Drosophila melanogaster: one gene and its partner. The protein of the gene in region 1 interacts with the protein of each later gene in a pairwise test. Each region holds a gene or a part of one and is shown in the gene's direction. Other genes may lie near its edges.

Evidence for each region.
Region 2: the proteins of bip1 (region 1) and mri interact in a two-hybrid assay, tested with the Drosophila melanogaster proteins (2 studies listed by BioGRID).

What each region holds. Positions count from the first base shown.
Region 1 is NT_037436.4:8,052,347-8,063,077, reverse strand, and holds bip1 (bip1), read left to right. Parts: upstream 1-4,364; 5' UTR 4,365-4,617; intron 4,618-4,984; exon of another isoform or gene 4,985-5,031; coding exon 5,032-5,198; exon of another isoform or gene 5,199-5,577; intron 5,578-6,702; exon of another isoform or gene 6,703-6,769; intron 6,770-6,869; exon of another isoform or gene 6,870-6,904; coding exon 6,905-7,202; exon of another isoform or gene 7,203-7,277; intron 7,278-7,638; coding exon 7,639-8,433; 3' UTR 8,434-8,745; downstream 8,746-10,731.
Region 2 is NT_037436.4:194,335-202,652, forward strand, and holds mri (mrityu), read left to right. Parts: upstream 1-5,839; 5' UTR 5,840-6,137; coding exon 6,138-6,726; intron 6,727-6,836; coding exon 6,837-7,034; intron 7,035-7,106; coding exon 7,107-7,424; intron 7,425-7,482; coding exon 7,483-7,697; 3' UTR 7,698-7,818; downstream 7,819-8,318. Other genes in the region: rno (rhinoceros), read right to left, coding at 1-2,269, 2,339-2,955, 3,014-3,203, 3,256-3,472, 3,546-3,740, 3,802-4,253; Gk1 (glycerol kinase 1), read right to left, coding at 7,880-8,095, 8,155-8,318.

The sequences.
Region 1 (10,731 bases):
GTGGGTTATTGTTGGAACTTAAATGTTTAAGAACCACAAGTTGCATCTTTAATTAAGTGTGTTTAAGACAAGCAGTTGGAACTGGCTTTTTTCTACAACTTGTTTGCAGGTGCTTTCTTTGGACTTCACCCCCTGCAACTCTCCACCCCATTCTACATACATACATATACATATACATACATATACATATACATATGCAAATTCGTATTTTTTCCCCTCCCACAACAAACACGCCCCCACAATAATTTGTTTTATTGCGATCGTAAAAACACTGAGCAACAGAATGGGAAAAATACAAAAATATGGTATTCGCCAGAGCCGCCAAAGTCGAGACAATGAAACCTGTTAATTAGCTTTGCTCAAATTTGGCAGAAAAGTATAGCGACAAAATAGCCAGGGCAAAAAGAAGAGTGAGCCACAATTGATTAATGCTCCACAGAGTCTTCGGTTTGTTTAGACCCCTCCTTCAATTTAAATACGTATTTATTTTTTGGCTGTTTTTGACTTTGAACTTGAAAAGGAGCATTGCCACGACGGAGTTGTATCAATAGAACTCTAATTGAAATATTATGGGGAGATTTTCATATGGATTCGGATATTAATTGAAATGTGGAATGGGCAAATTCTAAACTTTATACATCATTTTAGTTTTGTTCATAATTTATTTATAATAATTGATTTATAAATCATTTAGTTTTTGAAAGCGACAACCTTAACGATTATTTTCCATAAAACTGAACTATTCAGATTAGTTTGTTTCTCAGCTCAAAACCCCATTTAAATATGAATGCAATTATATTAAAGAACCCAATAAATCAAAGCGGCCATAAACGCGTGTCGTTTGGCTGTCCACTGTAGTGGAATAGCCATTTGTCACTTGGTATCACCGTGAATTAAACACTTTTCCCAGCCCCCAAACGCCTGATGCTAAAGCAGATTAAATCTTCGGAAATTAGACAATATCTTCATTAAATGATTTGCTCTAAAGAACTTATGGAAAGACGGCCCAAGGTAATCGGGTGTTAACTTAATCCAAACTCCATTAGCATCAGTTCGAAGCTGGAAAACCATTCAATGCCTCAGTTTAACCTTTGTGCGGCTGTGCTAACAACTCTGCTGACATATCATGGGGTTTTGGCCGGGAGGGGATTTTCCTCTGGTTGACCCACATACATAGCTCCCCAGAATACCGAATTCAGAATTGTTATGGTAATTTACAACCTCCAGTTAAATATTTCAGCTGCACCCAACTGTTGCAGCCCGCTGGGCTGCGCTTATTTATATTTGTATTGTGATCGAGTTGACAGTAGCACAAATTTTGATTGATGACGCTTGATTGACATTCGGGCAATTTGCTAATTCTATTTCTAGTTGGCCACGCTTGGAAAATGTGTCGCCTTTTGTGGGTCACCGCGGTCCTCAAACAATTCTTGTACATGCCGATCATTAATCATAATGAGTCGACTGCAATTGAGGTGGTCTTTGCAGTGGCTGCGTTGCTAACTAGCAAATTAATGGGAATTATGTACGCTGGGTGGCTGTTGGGAGCGAAAACTTTAATTAACTTGGGCTGTCAGGTCGAGTTGGCCGATTAACATACGCTCAGGCCTATCAAGTGTCTGCCATCAGTCTGTAAAAATGGAAAATATCCAGTCCAGTACGGCCACTCAAAGTCAAAGTGGAGCGGCTGTGCTGCGGCTACAACTAATTGAAATGCATTGAAAGTGCGTGCGACCAGTAAATGCTGCATATATAAAAAATATACAAACAAATAGCAACAACATAAACAAAAACAGTAACAGCAACAGCAGCTGCGTGTGAAATGTCAAGCGGTCCGCACTTTGGGCTAGTTGACATTTTGCCAGTTTGGCTAACCGAAAAACTACAACTTAATTACTCCCGTTTCGATCGTCAGCTCCCCCTAAGCAACCTTTGCGATGAATATCGCCATTTTGTTGCCTGTCATTTGTTGGGCAACAAATCGAAATATATAAAAAAAGTGACACTTGCCAATCTGCACAGTGTGATGTATGACGTTGACCCGATTTCGCCTGCTTTTTATTATCATTTCCATCGCCTGCATGTTGATTTCGTGTCTTGTCTGTCCGTACACACCTTTCCATGCCGCGACGAACGGCAATTTGTCTTTGCCTCAGGGGTGCCGATTATAATAATTCATCGGGAGTGCATTCGAGTGTGGGCAGCAAGTTCAAAGTGTTAAGTGTGATTTTCAAACATTCGTAATACACGGCGTATACTTAATGTTGCCGCAGTACAATGCCAGCGAATCGGATTGGCCTTCTGACACCCGAACAACAAATGTCAGGATGGCCGAGTGGTCTAAGGCGCTGCGTTCAGGTCGCAGTCTACTCTGTAGGCGTGGGTTCGAATCCCACTTCTGACAAGAACTTTTTGCCATTTTTTCGTTTTATTTTTTGAGCTACAAAAATAAAAATTTCTAAAATCCAAAGTATTTTACAATTATTAAATCAAGAATATACTCTCTCTTGACCAAACTGGAAATTGGCACTCGTTAGTTTAACAGTCAGGATGGCCGAGTGGTCTAAGGCGCTGCGTTCAGGTCGCAGTCTACTCTGTAGGCGTGGGTTCGAATCCCACTTCTGACAATACTCTTTTATTCTATTTTCCACAATTTTTTTCTAATACCAATTAAACTATTTTTACTTGTGCTAAACACACACTTCTTTTCAGTTTTGAGAATGAACCGTTTCAGTATGTGGTCCCCAACCAAAAGAAAATTTGATCTTACGGCTCTTGAGAGTCAGGATGGCCGAGTGGTCTAAGGCGCTGCGTTCAGGTCGCAGTCTACTCTGTAGGCGTGGGTTCGAATCCCACTTCTGACAAAGATTTTTTGTCCAATTTCATTCAGCAAAACGATTAATTTTTCCAACTAAAACTTTTTTTGCCCCTCACAATGATCACCATTTGTTTGGAGCATACATTAGATTGCTTTAACGAGCCAGCTTCCCTCTCAGGGGCGCCAGAAAAATTACAAGTAAATCAATTTGTAACCGCCTAATTGTCAATATTCCAATCACATAATCGGCTGCCAGTTAACGATTGCCCCCGGCTGTCGGGCAGACCGACAGATACAGCGAGACCACACAGGCGATGATCAAGCCTGGCCCCCTTGGGAATTATCGCCGTCTGGCATCGCCTGCAAACACTTCTACTTCTACATTCATCGCCAGCTCGAGTCATTCGGCTCAATCAGACAGAAATTAAAATGCTGACTGAGCGCGTTTTCGAATGCGGCCCACTCAGTAGTTTGTGTTTTCACAATTGTTCTTGGGAAAAAACAGTGCAGGTCCATCCGTAATTATGCTGCTGTTTGTCGGTCGTAAAACGCAATCAACTGGCCACGACAATTGACAATTTGGCTAGTGTAAAACTAGCCATTAAAGTTTTATTTGCTTTAGCACTTGAGAAATTGAGGCTGGCCTGGCCATAACAGGCGAATGGGTCAATTGGCATGTGACAGCAAGAAGCTGCAAGCTGCAGGCTGCAATTTCCACAGACAATGCAAATTGACGTCTTGGAAATATGAGTGATGTGACAAGTGGATGCTTATCTGCGGCTCGACGCCCCTGTTTTTTTTCGAGGGGCTTGCCTCCTTCGTCTGATGAGCGCCCATTGAAATTTATGACTTCGTCGAACCGCCAATTGATTGGCTTTTAAATATCCAAATGAAGGCTGCCAATCGCGAATTGTGCGGCCGTAATTAATGTACAAAAATCATTTGAACGCACGCCCCAAAGCAACACCTGCAGCTGTTGGTATCTTTATTTATGGAAAGCTTTTAACACTTTTAATTAATTATGGGATGGAAAAGTTGGCGGCTTAGCTATGTTGCAAATTTATGACACTACAAATTGATAATTGATAAGCAAAAATGCTATCTAAATGCTAATTTCTCGAAAAGCATATAAAACTAGAGTTAAGTGGTATTTAAGTATTGCAATGTACAATTAATATATTATATACAATCAACTACAAGGTGCGTAATTGAAAGGTGCGCAGACATCATATTATTAAGTAGTAGTTGAAGTATTATTTTCTTCGATTTGATACATATTCATTGCGCAGTACTTTATTCTTTAAAACACTATTATTTTAAATATGACTCATTAAAATAATAAATCATAAAAGAAATACCTATTTTTTAATGTCCTTCAATGGTAGTTTTTACTGTGCGCGATTGAAATCTCAGCCTGATTCCGAATTTGTCAGAGCTTTCCGGCGAAGATCTCGCACGCATGGGCACAAAGCTCGACAAAGCTGGAGAGACGCTCTCCAAACCGAGCTTCGCGCGGTGCCTTCGCGTGACGCAGGCGGAGCTTTCGACAGTCTGCTCCCACGAGTGACGTAGCGCAGTATAGAATGCAGAACGTAACAGAATCGTAATCGGAGCCGCATAGCATACCGCTAATTAGAAGATAGATGCCCTTTTCATTTAATCGTATCTAGCTGCGATCGCTTAAACCGGCGCCAATTGTATTCAAAGTTCCGTAACCGAAAGCTTTCACCTAGAGTTCTTGCCGTGGGGTTATTAAACTCAGAACTGCCGGTCAGAGAAAAGGAGACTTTGTGTGACAGGTGAGTTCATTATGTACATATGTATCTGTTTTCCTAAGATAAGCATAGGTAAATAATGGCGATGTGGGGTACATATGTTTATATTTAATTTCAAAGTATTTTGTAAAAGGTAAGACCACGCGGCTTTGAAAGGCAAGCACAAGTTATCCAAAAAAGCTTTTCCGTGGATGTGCATCTTATTGGTGCTTTTCTACGTGCAGCAAAGCAAGCTTTTATTCGCCAGAGCGAAAGTTCTTGGGGTCACTCTAGGTTTTCTTTTATTCCAAGAAAGAAAATAAGAAAATAAATAAGATATATGTATGTACTTATTTTAATGGTTTTCTAAACTAGAGCTTATTAATAAAATGATAAAAGAAGCAATAACCTTAAATTAAAATGAGTGATTTTATCCAATTTTAAAATAATATTTGATAGATGACGAATACGATAACCACTCTTCGGATTTGCCAGGCTGTGTCGCTAAATCCTAGCGCGAATGGGCCGGAACCAGTATTGCCACCTTCCTCCAGGATTTGTCTGATGGGTTGCCAGGATGTAAAGCCCAATGATCTGCGTCGTTTTCCAGTCCACGATACCGATCGGTGAGTATTATACACATACATACATACATATGTAGGTTCCTCCTGCCAAGAACCACATTAAACCTGTTTTTAGAGCCTACGGAGAGCTTTCCGATCGATTCGATCACCGAAGCTTGTTTTTGTTGCGAATCACAAGTGCTCATTCTATATTTTAAACACCATACCATTAAAGCCATAACAATCCAAAGCTTTGGACCCCGCTCGGTGCTCCTCTTCTTCGTCTGATACCGATACCGATACTCGCAGTCAAAGGTCATTGAACTTTCGCCCTCCCTCTCTTTCTCTGTCTCTGTCTCTCTGTTTTTTTCTCGGTTCGCATAAAAGTGCATCATTTTCATAGGAATATTTCAATGCCATGGCGGCTAAGAACTTGTGCAGTGCAGCAATCAGAAATGCAATAATGCCGATGTGGGCGGGGCAGTGGGTGGGCGGGGGATAGGTCCCAGATTCCGACTCCCATTTATTTATAGCTCTCACGCTCTCCTGTAAATGCAACAAATGCGCGTGGGGCTCTGCTCTGCTGGCCGTGAAGTGAAGTTATTTTGTGTTTCTTTGCTGCTTCTTCATCTCCAGTTTCTGCAGTTGGTGCGCAAAAAAAAAAAATAGAGTTCCGTCTGCCAAAGTTACTTGGCATTGGCCATGGAGTTTAGAGTGGACCACTGTTAAGCGAATTCTTCCTCTTTCCGAGGAAACCCCAGAATGTTAAGCTTTATTTATTATCAAGGAAAGCTCATATTTTACCTTTCGTCGGTATTATCACTAAATGTACTTTGAGACCAAAAAAGTGAAAGTCACTTTTATAAGCAAAATCGAAATAAGAATGACGTTTGCTAAGTTTAATTATAATAGTTGGTTATCTAACTGTAGTCATTGAGTTCCGTTTAAAAATTTTCAAGATATAGTATGAAATTTTAAAGTGAATTATGACAATAATTTTAATTTCACACAGTTGTACGTTGGTTTTGTAAGTTAAGCATAAACCATTCTTATGAAAATGGTTTCAAGCGATTAAAATTTATTTAAAACTTGGCTAGTAAGTCAGATTAAATATGGTATGAGTAGGCAAATGATTTTGCTGTCCCTGACCTGCACAATAATTTCGCATTCGGTCCACCCTAAAGGCCTTAATTGTTGTTGTTGTTTCGCCTAGCCATAAGCATAAGGCAAAAAGAAAATAAGCCTCATTCCCCCATCTTCCACAAATCGGCAGAAACAACAAAAATAGGGGGAAGTTGAGCAGAAGCTGCAGCAAAAGCAACAGCAACAACAAACAATAACAATTCCCCGCGAAACTTCCGCTGAGCGAGAAGGAGCGTACGAAAGCGTTGCTTCTCGTTCGCACTCGCAAAAGAAGCATAAAAAGAGCTTAATTGCAGCGAAAACTTTTTCAAGAACTTTTCCAAGAGAGAGCGATAAAGAGAGCGGAGAGCGAAAGTCGGATCTAATTTGAAAGCGTCGCAAGAACCAGAACGAAACTCCAATGCAGTTTCATTTTGTCAGTTTAATCATTAAACAAAGAACTGCGCAACCGATCGCAACTAGCTCGTGGACTCTTGTTCTCCCAATAATTGGTATGTTTTCCATTTTGCGTTAACATGGAAAATGTGTGAAAAGCTTTTTCCCCCTCCAAAAGAAGCGTACTGAACTAAGCTTTCGGTGGTTAGTAATAGTAGTCGTTATATCTTATTTTTCTTATTTACGTGCAGCTGCAATCATTGGCTGCGTCACTTTGGCGTCAGCTATAAACTGGTGGATCAACTCGGCGGCCTCCAAAAGCTGCGCATCTGCTCCAGACACTTTAGCCAACGCCAGGAGATGGCCAAAACCCGCATCAAGATGACGCCGCTGCGCAAGTCCTCGTCCTCCAAGGGCATTGTGCTACCCATTAATGCCGCTGGAGGGTCGGTCATTGCAGGCGCCTTAGCAGGAGGAGGAGGTGCAGGAACTGGGAGCGGTGCTGTCAAGTCGGCGGTGGCCAGCAGCACCACCATTGAACTTGTTGAGGTGAGTGGCAGCACAAAAGAAAACAAAAGTTCAGCTTTCATAGGGGTTGGTAATTGACCCAAGCTAAATTTCAGTTCAGACAGAAATTATGTTTTAGACTCCGTAACGCAATTTTCGTTGTTTATTAACCAATTGAAATAAATCGTATAGGTATTTGAGCATTAAATGGTATTCCAAAAACGGGCATGCTATTAGAGTTAGTTTAACAACAATACAAGCATGTCTTAAAAAAATACGTACAAAGCTATTTATTCCGTAAAAGTTTAATTTTTTATAACGAATAGCGACAGATCCTGAACTTTTAAAATTTCAGAGAACCCTTCAACGTTCTTTCTCTTTAAATTTCATATTTTAAAGATATGGTTAAAACTGCTTGTATGCATATATAAATATATACCACTATAAATGTATTTTAATGAACCGCATTTTTTTGCAGAGCCCCAATAGACATCAGGCCAAGAAGCCCAACACCGGCATTATGCCCATGCCACAGCGTTCCCACTCCATTAGCTCCTCGGCCTCCAGCGATGTGCTGTCCATAAACTCCGACTACGAAGCCTCGTTACCACTATCAGCCTTAGAGGATTCCCAGAATGGACTGAACCGCTTGGAGAACGGTCAAGCCAAGAAGAGGAAACTGTACGTGATCACCGAAAAATCGGATGAGACGAAAGGTCAGACTCTGGAGACAAATGGACAGCCCAAGAAGCGTAAGATGTTCGTGGTTGTGGAGCAGGATAAAGATGTGGCGGGCAAGAAACTAATGATTATGGCCGACAAGCCGCAGACCAATCTTACCCAGCATTTGGAGAAACTACTGCCCGAGCTATTGAATCGCATACAGGACAAAGAACAGAAGCAGATCAAACCAGCTCCAGTGGTGACTAAAGCCAAGCCGGTGGTTAACAATCCCAGACCACATATAACATTGCCGCCCAAAAAGAATCCAACTAATTTTGCAAAGATCACGTCCACACCAAGCTCAGTGCCTTCATCCATTCAGATGCCACTGCCAATTCAGAATACCAAGATCCTAAAGTCCGAGAATTCGGAACTGACAATGAATTCGGATGAGATCGAGACGAACATAAATCTATCGCCCGACTTCCGCTTCCTAATGAAAATCCTACCCAAATTGGAACAGCTGCCCGAGCCCCACAAGCAGAACGTGAAGCGTTCCATCCAGATCTTCGTGGAGAAGAGCTACAGTATTTACGGCAACAAGGATTAGTTATCAGTATTTTCGGGCACAGCGTTTATTTTCCATTTCATGTGAAGCAGTTCCCTTTATTTTCGTACATACACATACATACATCAAAGGCATTTCATAACTTTGTGTAAGACTGAAGCAGAACCAATTTAATTTCTAAGCCAATTGTAAGAGCTGAAGCAGCTCCCCATTTAGACATGTAAGCTTATCAGAAATTTGATATTACCCACCTGGAGATGGGTAGATTTTGTAAAAGTTGAGCCATAAAAACGAATTAAGATTGAATTTCTTTCTATATTGAATATATGAAAGCTTGATTTAAGCCAGAAAGATAAACCGTCTAAGAGTCTTATTTTTGGGATAAGAAGGTATATAACGAGGGGATATTACCACGACCCACAATTAATAACACTAGTGTTTTTTTCTTATCTTTTTGGTTTTTTTTTTTTGCATTGTAATTCCAAAGAACTTTATTTAGTTTGAAAGCATTTGTTTACGGTTTCTCTTCTTCCATATTTCTTTCTTTTTTTTTTTTAGTTACGTTATAATAATATTTAGTAAGTCTAATGCGGTTTTATTTAGTGTGGTTTAGTTTAGTTAATACAATGGTTAGTGTGTCTTTACGATTTCCATGTAAATTATGCAGCTTCACTTCGTCCTGGAGAAAGGATTGCATTTGGTAATTTACAATTCTTGCCGGCCCATTTACCACTACACGTGTATGTTTTGGGTCTCAGTTTCGTTTTAAGTTAGTATATCCGATTAATGTGGTTAATACATTACATATATACAGTTAAACACTTCATGTTTAATTTAGCTTGCGGGTCAAGGAAACCAAATTATGTGTAAAGTATTAGGGAACTTTGTTGCGTGCCTTTACTGGATGAGGATTTCTACATGATTGGAGTGACTCCATTTCGAGTGCTACATTATAATCGAGTAATATATACTTTTTACAACATTTAGCAAATTTTCCCGTACACATACAATAACTCGTATATCATATTTTTGCGTTAAGCATTTGCCATCGATTTTTTTTTAGAGGGTATAGGGTGTGTTTTATATGGTTTTAAATCGTGTTTGTTAACTACGTTTTGGAGTGTCCTACATTATAGCGTTTGCCTTTTTGTCGGTTAGCGTATCGAGTGTTTTTACATGCTACTTATAAGAAAAAATATTTGCCTTAATGTTGTCCTACGAAACAGTTATGTCATCATCATCATCAATGAGAAGCAATCACAAAGTTTTCTCTAAATTTATATACGACGATTATTACTATTATTTATCATTTTCTTTAGTATTTACATAATTTTTTGGAGTGCACAAAGCAGCCAGCTTCTGTCTGGTTAGTGTAAGCAACTAGAACTACATTCACTGTGGAGTCGAAGATGCTCAATTATCCATTTTGCATTTACACATCGAGTTGGTTAATCGTCGTTTAGATGTGGGTTAGTGGGTTCGGGTTAAAAAAACTGTGTCACAATTTCTACAAACAGCCTTTTGTTAAACATGGTAAACGTACATATATGTTGGTTATTTATATGTTATGCGAATTTGGGATTATTTCATATATGTATATAGGAGTATTTTGTAATTTTTACATTTAATAACCTGAGCGCAATCATTTTTATGTTTTATTCTACCAATCTTGACCAATTCTGGTTTCAATAGACTTCTCTCCCCTGAGAGTCTCATCATCATATATTTGGTTTATATTCAAAGTTTATGATGTACATGGCATCCTTAGGTATCCCGTATTCAATGGAATGCTGTCTTTGTACCTGTATTCTAATACAAACTTGAAGAATTGTTGGTGTGTGGTGTGTTGTGTTTTAATCTCAAATATTGTCCATAAATATACATACACATATCGTATATAGTGGGTGCTAGTTGTCTGGGGTTGCAGTGTTACATGGCTATAAATTCTAATTAGCAAATGCATTGGGTTGGGTTGGATCCACTTTAGGTAATGCGATAAATAAATAAAACAAAATGGATTCGTTTTCTTCTTTTTTTTGTTTTGTTCTTATTTTTTATACAAACAGTTTACACAATTTTTCGTTTTATCCTCATTTAACGTAAATTAATGCGTAATTCGTATCTAGTATATATAGTTAAGAATGATCCTTAAAATCGGTTTACAAGTCAAATACTAATGCAGTTTACAATTACAGTTGATCCTTAACTTATGAACTCATTTCAAATAGGCGCTACAGTCGCCAATCAAATTATATGGGCCCATATGAGCCGATATCTTGTGTCAATTACATTATGTTTTAGTTCAGACCTGCTCCAATCGGGGGTTGTGCTATTCGTGTA
Region 2 (8,318 bases), 7.9 Mb from region 1:
TCACTGTTTCTTTGTCCGAAATGTCGTTCCCCGTTGAGAAAGATTCTAGAACGGGTTTGCTACTCTTTAATTGCTCCGCTGCCTTCTTAGCCGCTTGCCGTTGAGGAACCAATGAGACTGCAAAGTTCGACTTGGCTGAGACTGGGGTAGCGACGACAGATGGGGGCTTGCTTTGAGTATGCGTTGGGAGGGCAGGCTTGTCATTTTCCGTAATAGATGGCGGACGTGCATCCTTTGGGACCTTTGGTGGCCTTCCGCGCTTTCCACGTTCAGCAGGTGCGCTTTCGGACGTTTTTCCAACAGTCTTCTGTAAGTGTTCTTTTGGTCGTACTTTTTCAAGACTTGATTTATCCGCTTCATTCGACACACGAGAGCTTGAATCCTTCACCTTGCTCTTTGCAGTTCCTGAAATGGAGTTTATGTCTGGCTCTCTGACTCTGTCGGACACATCTGGCTGTAGCGTCGTGGCGAGATTTGTGGATCGCATGTTCTCAGAAGCCTTTTTGGCTGCCTGGCGCTGTGGCACCACCAAAAGATCTGCCGGATACAACTTGGCATTCGGGTTCGGTTTGGTTTTTGTACTGTTGCCGATACTGGCAGCCCCTTCCTTTCCTTCCCGCGTGTTCTTCGCTTTACTAGTTGAGGACGCTGCTTGGGAAGTAGAGGATGTTGTGGCTGCTGTTCCTGGCACAAACTCTTTCATAGCTGCCTTTGTTCTAATCGTCTGTTGGTTTTGTGAGTCACTAACATTACTTTCCACGGTGGCCTGCTCCTCCTGGTCTTTTTCTTGTTCAGAGGAACTGCTCTCAGAGTCGGAGTAGATATGCTGTCCCAAGTTTCTACCAATGGCCGAACCAGTCGTGGCTAGTCCGGAAGTCGTTGTGCTCTCACGCTGTCGTTCCCCTCTTAGAGGCAACAATTCCTCACTTTCGTCGCTCGATACGCTCTCATCGGCATCTTTATCCATTTGGGCAAGTCCTCGTGTTGTCGTAGACAACTTTCGTCTTGCAGAGGCTCCAGTTCCCTCTCCAACGTCTGCTTCCGTTGTAGGTTTTGACCTACTTGCCTGGCTCCTATTAGGTACTGATTTGCTTTGAATTGGCCCCCGTCTCGCACCGCGCTCTGGTTCTTGGCGGTTTCTACATCGCTCGTCTTCACCGTCGCTGGAGCTGCTTGCAGACCTGGAATCCGGATACGTTGCAGACGCACCCGCAACTGCTTCATTTTGACGTCGCTGTCGCTGTTTTTGCCGCTGCTCAACGGACCGAGCGTAGCTTTGCTTTTTAAGGGGACTTCCTGAGGAAGACTTTCGCTTGGAGACTCCGCTACCCGCGCTAGAGCTACCGCTTTCACTACCCGAATCACTTCCTGAGGAACTATCGGAGCTGCTGGTACCATTCGCCGAGCTGGAATTACCTGATGATATAGTGCCGCTTGACGAATGGGAGGTCGTGCTACTGCGGATATTTGAGTGGAATTGACTTTTGTTGTGGGTCGACGTCGCCGCCGCCGCGCTGCTCTTCGAGGCACGCCTCCCTGTAGGATTCTTCCCTGGCGGAGACCGTACCTTGGATGTAGTCGTTCCCACCTTACTCCCTGCCACAGTCTTCTCAGGCGATGACGTGCGTGAACTAAGAATGCCATTATTAAGCTTCTTGTTTGGCGAAGCTTTAGCAGGCTGCTTGCGTTTGTTAGGAGACTGCGAGGCACGGCCACGGCCCTGTTTACCACTCTGCAGCTTACCCATAAGCTGTTCAAGGATGTATTTCAAATCCTGGTACTGCGCCGGCACAGTTTGTCCTCCCACAGAGCTGTAGAAACGGTCATACAAAGTAGGTCCGTCGTTGGCGTAGATTACAGCGTTCAGATCCATCACAGGTTGTTGCTGCTCTTGTTTGGTCTGCTGCTTCTCCAAGCGCATCTCATCCAGAACTCCCAGCTGCTTGTAGAATACCTGCTCACGTAGCTTAAAGAGAGAGCGCGAAAGCTTTTCTCTTCGACTAACCATATAGCAGAGATTACGAACTCGCTCCAAATCCTGTCGCAAATGCACCACCAACTTATGATTTTCCATGTCCTGTTGCTCCTGCTTGCGGGCTATCATCTCCACATCTTCGGACTTGGGCGGGATAAGCTCGCGATTGTGTCGAGACTTTCTCTTAAGCTTCCAATAATTGTATATGGCAACAATAGCATCGTCGTCGACATCAAATAGATGGCAACTGATGTCATTAAAGTTAACATGCTTATCGAACTCAGCTTCCACCTCCTGAAAATCAATGGGAAAAGTTAGCAACCGAATGCATGCAGAAGGCACAACGGAAAAGAAACTACTAACCTGGAGGCGCTGAGCTCTGGCTTGGTTACGTTCCTCGGAGGTCAGTTCGGTTTTACGGTGATTTTTCCGCCTGCGTGGATCCTCTCCAGTTGTCCCGCACGCGTTGTTGCCGTCGTCGGCTCCTCCACCAGCCCCACTGCCGTATCTGTTTGCTTTCTGCATGGCGCTTGCGACTGAGGCACTGCCTCCCCCATGACTACCAGCATTTTCCTTCTTACCCTTGCTCATACTGTGTTTCTGACAATAAGAGCGCAGCTTCACGCCGTCCTCAGCATTACCTTCCTCTATGATTGCACGCATTTCCAGGCCATGCTGAAACGCGCAAGTCACATGGTATGCTGTTTTGCAGGGCTTTACTGAGCACTGGATGCAGCTGCCAACTCGCTTTCGGCAGAGTACACAGATCAGGGACCAACGCGACTGAGGAATGCTAGAGATTTTCGTGATGGGTTCCATGCGATCCACACACCCAATGCTGACCTCGGGTATCCACAGAGCGCAAGAGACGTGTGCCCAGTGCTTACCCGACTTGTTGGATTTCATAGCGCCGCCCTTATTTGGACAGAGGACACAGTCCGGCTTAATTCCCATCGAACAAGTGCGGCATAGCCATTGTCCTGAAACAAAAGTTTACATGAGCACACTAACATTTCCACTCCACTAGGTGCTGCTTACCTGATGGAATTGCTGTAATGCCATAACACGCCTGGTGCACACAGATATTGCAATTATCACAGAATACCATTTCGTTCGCCTCCTCGGAGTCGGGCGATCGGCAAACATCGCAGATGACATTCTCATCGAATTCGATGCCCAAGCCTTCTTCCAGTTTAAGTATGACTTGAATCTGTTCCCAGCAACGAACCTAGAACGCAAAAGTCAATATATTGGTTCAGCATGGGGTCTAGTGAGCTTACCTCTAGCTCCTCAATGACGCGCTCAAACTGCGTCGCGTTTATGGGAAAAGCACCACATTGGGCACGATCGCTGTTGTAGAGACGCAACCAGGCCTCGTCAATAGGATCTATATCATAGGCACATGTGTTCTCCGCCAAGGCAACAACATTCGTCAGGTAATGCAGATCCGGCGAGTAGTGCTCGTCTTTGGTAATGCGCAGATAGCGATTTTTCGGGCTGTAAACGAGAGCCGCAGTTCAGTACAGAAATTCACAAGTACGAAAAAAAAATATGCTAGGTATTAACTTACAGCTTAAAGTCGTGCGCTGGAGACACAACAGGCTCGGGCAGAACATAGACGCATGGCTCAGGAAGGGAGTCTGGGTTAACGGGCACTTGCACACCCTTTTCCCATTCCTGCTTCCATGGGTCTGTTACTATTAAATACTCGTAGTTGGCCAACGGCTCAGAGTCTGGCAATTTCATTGCGCTAATGAGATCCTTGCTGCAATTAAAATTTGAATATTATTGAATCGTTTCTAATTGGTTTGCTGGTCTGTTAATACCGGTAAAGTTCAGCTGGAGCTTCCGTTGAGCTTCGATTGTAGATGCTCGACATCTTGATGTCCGCTACAGACCGCGCCTGCCAGGAGCTACTAGAACTCGCCCCCTGCGACTTGCACTTGCTTGCCGACTTTGCCAGTTTCGTTGACTTCGATTTGCTAGTGCTGGTAGCGCCTGCCGCGGCTCTTCCTTGTCCTCCTCCCCCCGCTTCCGCCCCTGGCTCTTCATGTTTGCTTTTGCACAAAGGCAGAACTGGCACACGCTCCGATCCTGTAGCTGGACCCGATCCAGTCACTTCAGCTACTGCTGCCGTAGTGGCTCCATTAGGTGGCCTACCTTTGCGCCGCTTGGTGGGCGGCGGCTGCGGCTCAACATCCTTGCGCTGATGCTGTTGCGGCGGCGGATGGTGCGACTGGTGATGCTGCTGATTACCGCGCTTACCTCTTTGTGACATTTTTCATTGGTGTTGATTGGATATTTGTGTGTTTTTGCTTCGATTGGTACCTTGTCCCTTGTGTCTTGTGCTTGTTAGAGAACGGGTTCTTTGCTGCAAGACCTAGAAGTAAGAAGGCAAAAGCAGCTTCAATACGTATTTCACGCGATTTATTTACTAACCAAATTTACTTACTACATGCTTAAGGCCACAGTTGGCGACACCACACCGGCTGCTGCTGCTGCGCTCTCCTGGATGTGGTGCGGTCGTGATTCTTGGTGGTCCACCCTTTGTGCCCCGTGGACATGGACGCCGCTGCTGCCCCAGCCCTAATATCCAGTAGCGACGCCACTTTGCAGTCCTGTGTGCTCCGCACTTCTCCACGGGCGAGTTAGTCCACTTCCACTGCCACCTTCCGCTTGCTGCCTTTTGTTATTGTTCGTTGTTTATCCACAGACTTTTGCAAGTTTTTCTTTGGCGTTTGGCTCACTGGTTTGGATTCTCGACGAGCATTCGCTAGTCTGGTGGGAGAGAAGGCATATGTTTGTGGGTTATTCGCTTATATTAGGAGCGTTCCCAGTAAGTGTCCACATTTTCTATGCTTTCCGAAAATACACAAAAAATATAGAAAAACGTTCAAGCTGCCAATAGGTGACTGGTGCAAAACCCACAGGCGCCCTCCCGCTCGCACATAGCACGCTCGTTTAAGGGCGCGCTTACTATGCGCGTGAGTGCAAGCAGGAGGCAAGCAGGTGGCGTTCGTGTTGCATCCGCCAGCTTATACACGGCACCCAGCATACCCCTCCGACACTTCACTACTCAGAAGCAATCAAAGTTTTTGCACTTTTTTTTACACTTTTATTATAACAACTTATTTGTTATTGCTATCCGCAAACCTAGACAGCCACTCTGCTCGTCGCTAGCGCTTCCGCACGCGACACGCCCACTCAGGGCGCCACTTTCGCACTGCCCATTCTTGGGGGAGTTGGGATTTTGTTATATATTTTACATTTGGGTTTTTTGCCGCCGCAGACACACACGCCAAGCACTTGTTACTGACCGAAGACCGCTCACAGTCTTCGCATTTCGTGAAGCGTCCGTATCAAACTCACGTTTCCCAAAATCGCATTTGCGTTCGCAGGAATTACAATTCTTTTGATTATTTATTTTATTTTTGAGCAAAAATTATTTTTCTCAGATCGCCATGATGAACGGTTGCAAATTTAAACTATCGAGTGCATTTAGTCGGTGGTCGGTATCGATACACAGCTTGGGTATATACAGAGTTGCATTCGGCCCAACGCTGTATTTTGTTTTAACAACATTTAATTAATTTCCACAGAATTTTCATATTAATTTGTATTTGAAAAAAAAAGTTATTTCCATTAAGTTAAGATATGTTAATTAAGAATTTTCTTATTATTACCTCTAAATATTATAGATTTTCTTAACTTAATAGAAGTTAATAATTATGTAACAAACAATGTCGAAATGATGAAATTACAATCTTTTTATTTTTTTAGAGAGGAATTTTTTATTCGTTAAAAAAAACCCGATAAGCTGAAAACAAACATCGCGATTGAAGATAAATATCGGTTAAAAATATGTTATTGTGATTACAGAGGAAAACTATCGACTGAGCGCACCCAGGAGCCCATCTCCAGCACCAACAAGAAAAAATATGTATATTTATAACTATATGTAAAAAGGAAAAAGTCGCGTCGCACAAAGGTAACGTGAATACTATTTAATCGGACCTCTGATGCAGCGATAAGCAGGCTTTTTTTCAACGGAGCCTCGCTAATTTGACCGCCCTCTGCCAGATTGTCTTTGTCTCTCTCGAAAAGTCGGTGGAACGGTGTTGTACTGGAATATTTGAAGAGTGGCTCATCAAACGCAACAAACATGTCAAACACTCCAAGTCTGAACAGTAGTAGTAGCAATATCAGTAGCAAGGCGCCCCTTGCCCAGAAGCAGGACACGTACAGTAGCGACAGCAGCGAGGAAGTTCTCGAAACAGCCGAGGAGCGGAGGAGGCGCATCCTGAAGGAGCGCAGCCGGCTGAACCGTCCGCAGCACAATATGTCAGGCGGAGGTGCTGTGCCCAAGCACGACATAAAATCCCCTTGCGGAGCATCTCCCAGCTGCCAGGCAACTGGTTCCGGAATGGGCCGCCTGCCGCTCCCTCCCGAAAGGATCACCATGCTGGTGGACGGTGTGCGCTTCACGGTGGAGCAATCACTGCTTACAGCACATCCCACCACAATGCTTGGCACGATGTTCGGCTCCGGCTTCCAGTTCGCTCATACCAACGAGCGCGGCGAGTACGACGTTGCCGACGGCATTTCGCACTTAGTGTTCAGAGCCATTCTGGAGTACTACAAAAGCGGTGTTATCCGCTGCCCGCCCACTGTTTCGGTACCGGAACTAAAAGAAGCCTGTGATTATCTGCTCATTCCCTTCGACGCAACCACGGTGCGCTGCCAGAACCTAAGTGAGTATAACGCGAACTATTCCTGCCAGGGCGAACCTTAGTTGTGGCCACCTCTGCTTGTTTTCCGTCTCTTTCCTTGTAACATGCCCTCTGTTATGTTTGACATAAAGGAGGCCTTCTCCACGAGCTTAGCAACGAAGGAGCGCGACAACAATTTGAACTCTTTCTTGAGGACCTAATTCTGCCCCTCATGGTGGCCTCGGCGCAGCGCGGGGATCGAGAGTGTCACGTTGTGGTGCTCCTTGAAGACGATATGGTCGAGTGGGATGAAGAGTTTCCGCCTCAGATGGGCGAGGAGTATTGTCAGAGTGAGTGTATTTAAAAAATGTGTTTGCATTAGTATCACGGAAGTGGAAGCAACACTAACATTTCTAACGCAGCCGTGCACAGCACTGCCATGCACCGATTCTTCAAGTACATCGAGAACCGCGATGTGGCCAAACAGGTGATGAAGGATCGCGGTCTGAAGAAGATACGCTGTGGCATAGAGGGATACCCCACCCACAAAGAGAAGATCCGAAGGCGTCCCGGTGGACGGGCTGAAGTCATCTACAGCTATGTGCAGCGACCTTTCATCCACATGTCCTGGGAGAAGGAGGAAGCAAAGAGTCGCCATGTTGATTTCCAATGTGTAAAATCCAAGTCTGTAACGAATCTAGCGGAAGCAAATGCAGATCCGCCACTGGAATTGGACGCAAGTGCGTAAGGCTCGAAACGGAGAGTAACAGCTCCCTTAAAGCCCAAATTCGTTTTCAGGTGGAAATCCGATTCCCCCTATAGCAGTGGCTAATCCGCATCCCAATAACGCTGAGCTCGCTGCCGGTATGGCCGTCGCACCCGCAGCTATAGGCGTGGCTGGTCCAGCAGTCGTGGTAGCCGTCGACGAGGCGGCCGGGGGCGTTGTAATGCTCAACGAGTTGGACCAGGCAGCGATCGCTGTTGCCGTCGGAATAGTTGATGAAAATATGTAGATCAACTGACCGGCTGGTAGTCGGAACACACTGCCAGAGCATCACAGCGCACAGAAAAACACTTTACGTTTTTAATTAACATTTTTATATGTATATGTAATAAATGGAAATTTCGAATACGAAAAACCAAGCAATTGATTTACGAATAGAAGAACATGAACGTTACCAGACATTAGCTGTGATCACGCTCCGTCAAAGGCCTCCCGTTCGCCCTGTGGAAGCGTCGAAGTCTCCCAGTTCAGTGAACGATCGATAGCCATTTTCCACTTTTGGTAGCGCAGGTTGCGATCGGTGGCACTGATCGATGGCTTTATGGCTTCTCGGGGGCCAGATTTAGAGAGTGGAGCCTCCATTTGGTATCGGTTTTCAACGGCTTTGTAGGCTGCCATTGCAGCTCCCTAAAGCATTTTTGAAGCATTATTGAAGCTGCATTTACATCACAAGTTAAAGTACTAACCAGCGCTGTTGTCTCTGCGATCTTCGCCCGGAGTACTTGAATTCCTACTAGGTCGGATTGAAGCTGCAGGAACAGATTATTCACAGTCATGCCCCCGTCTACCATAAGCTTGGCCAGTGGAATCTTGCAGTCCTTGTGCATCGAATCGAGAATATCACGGACCT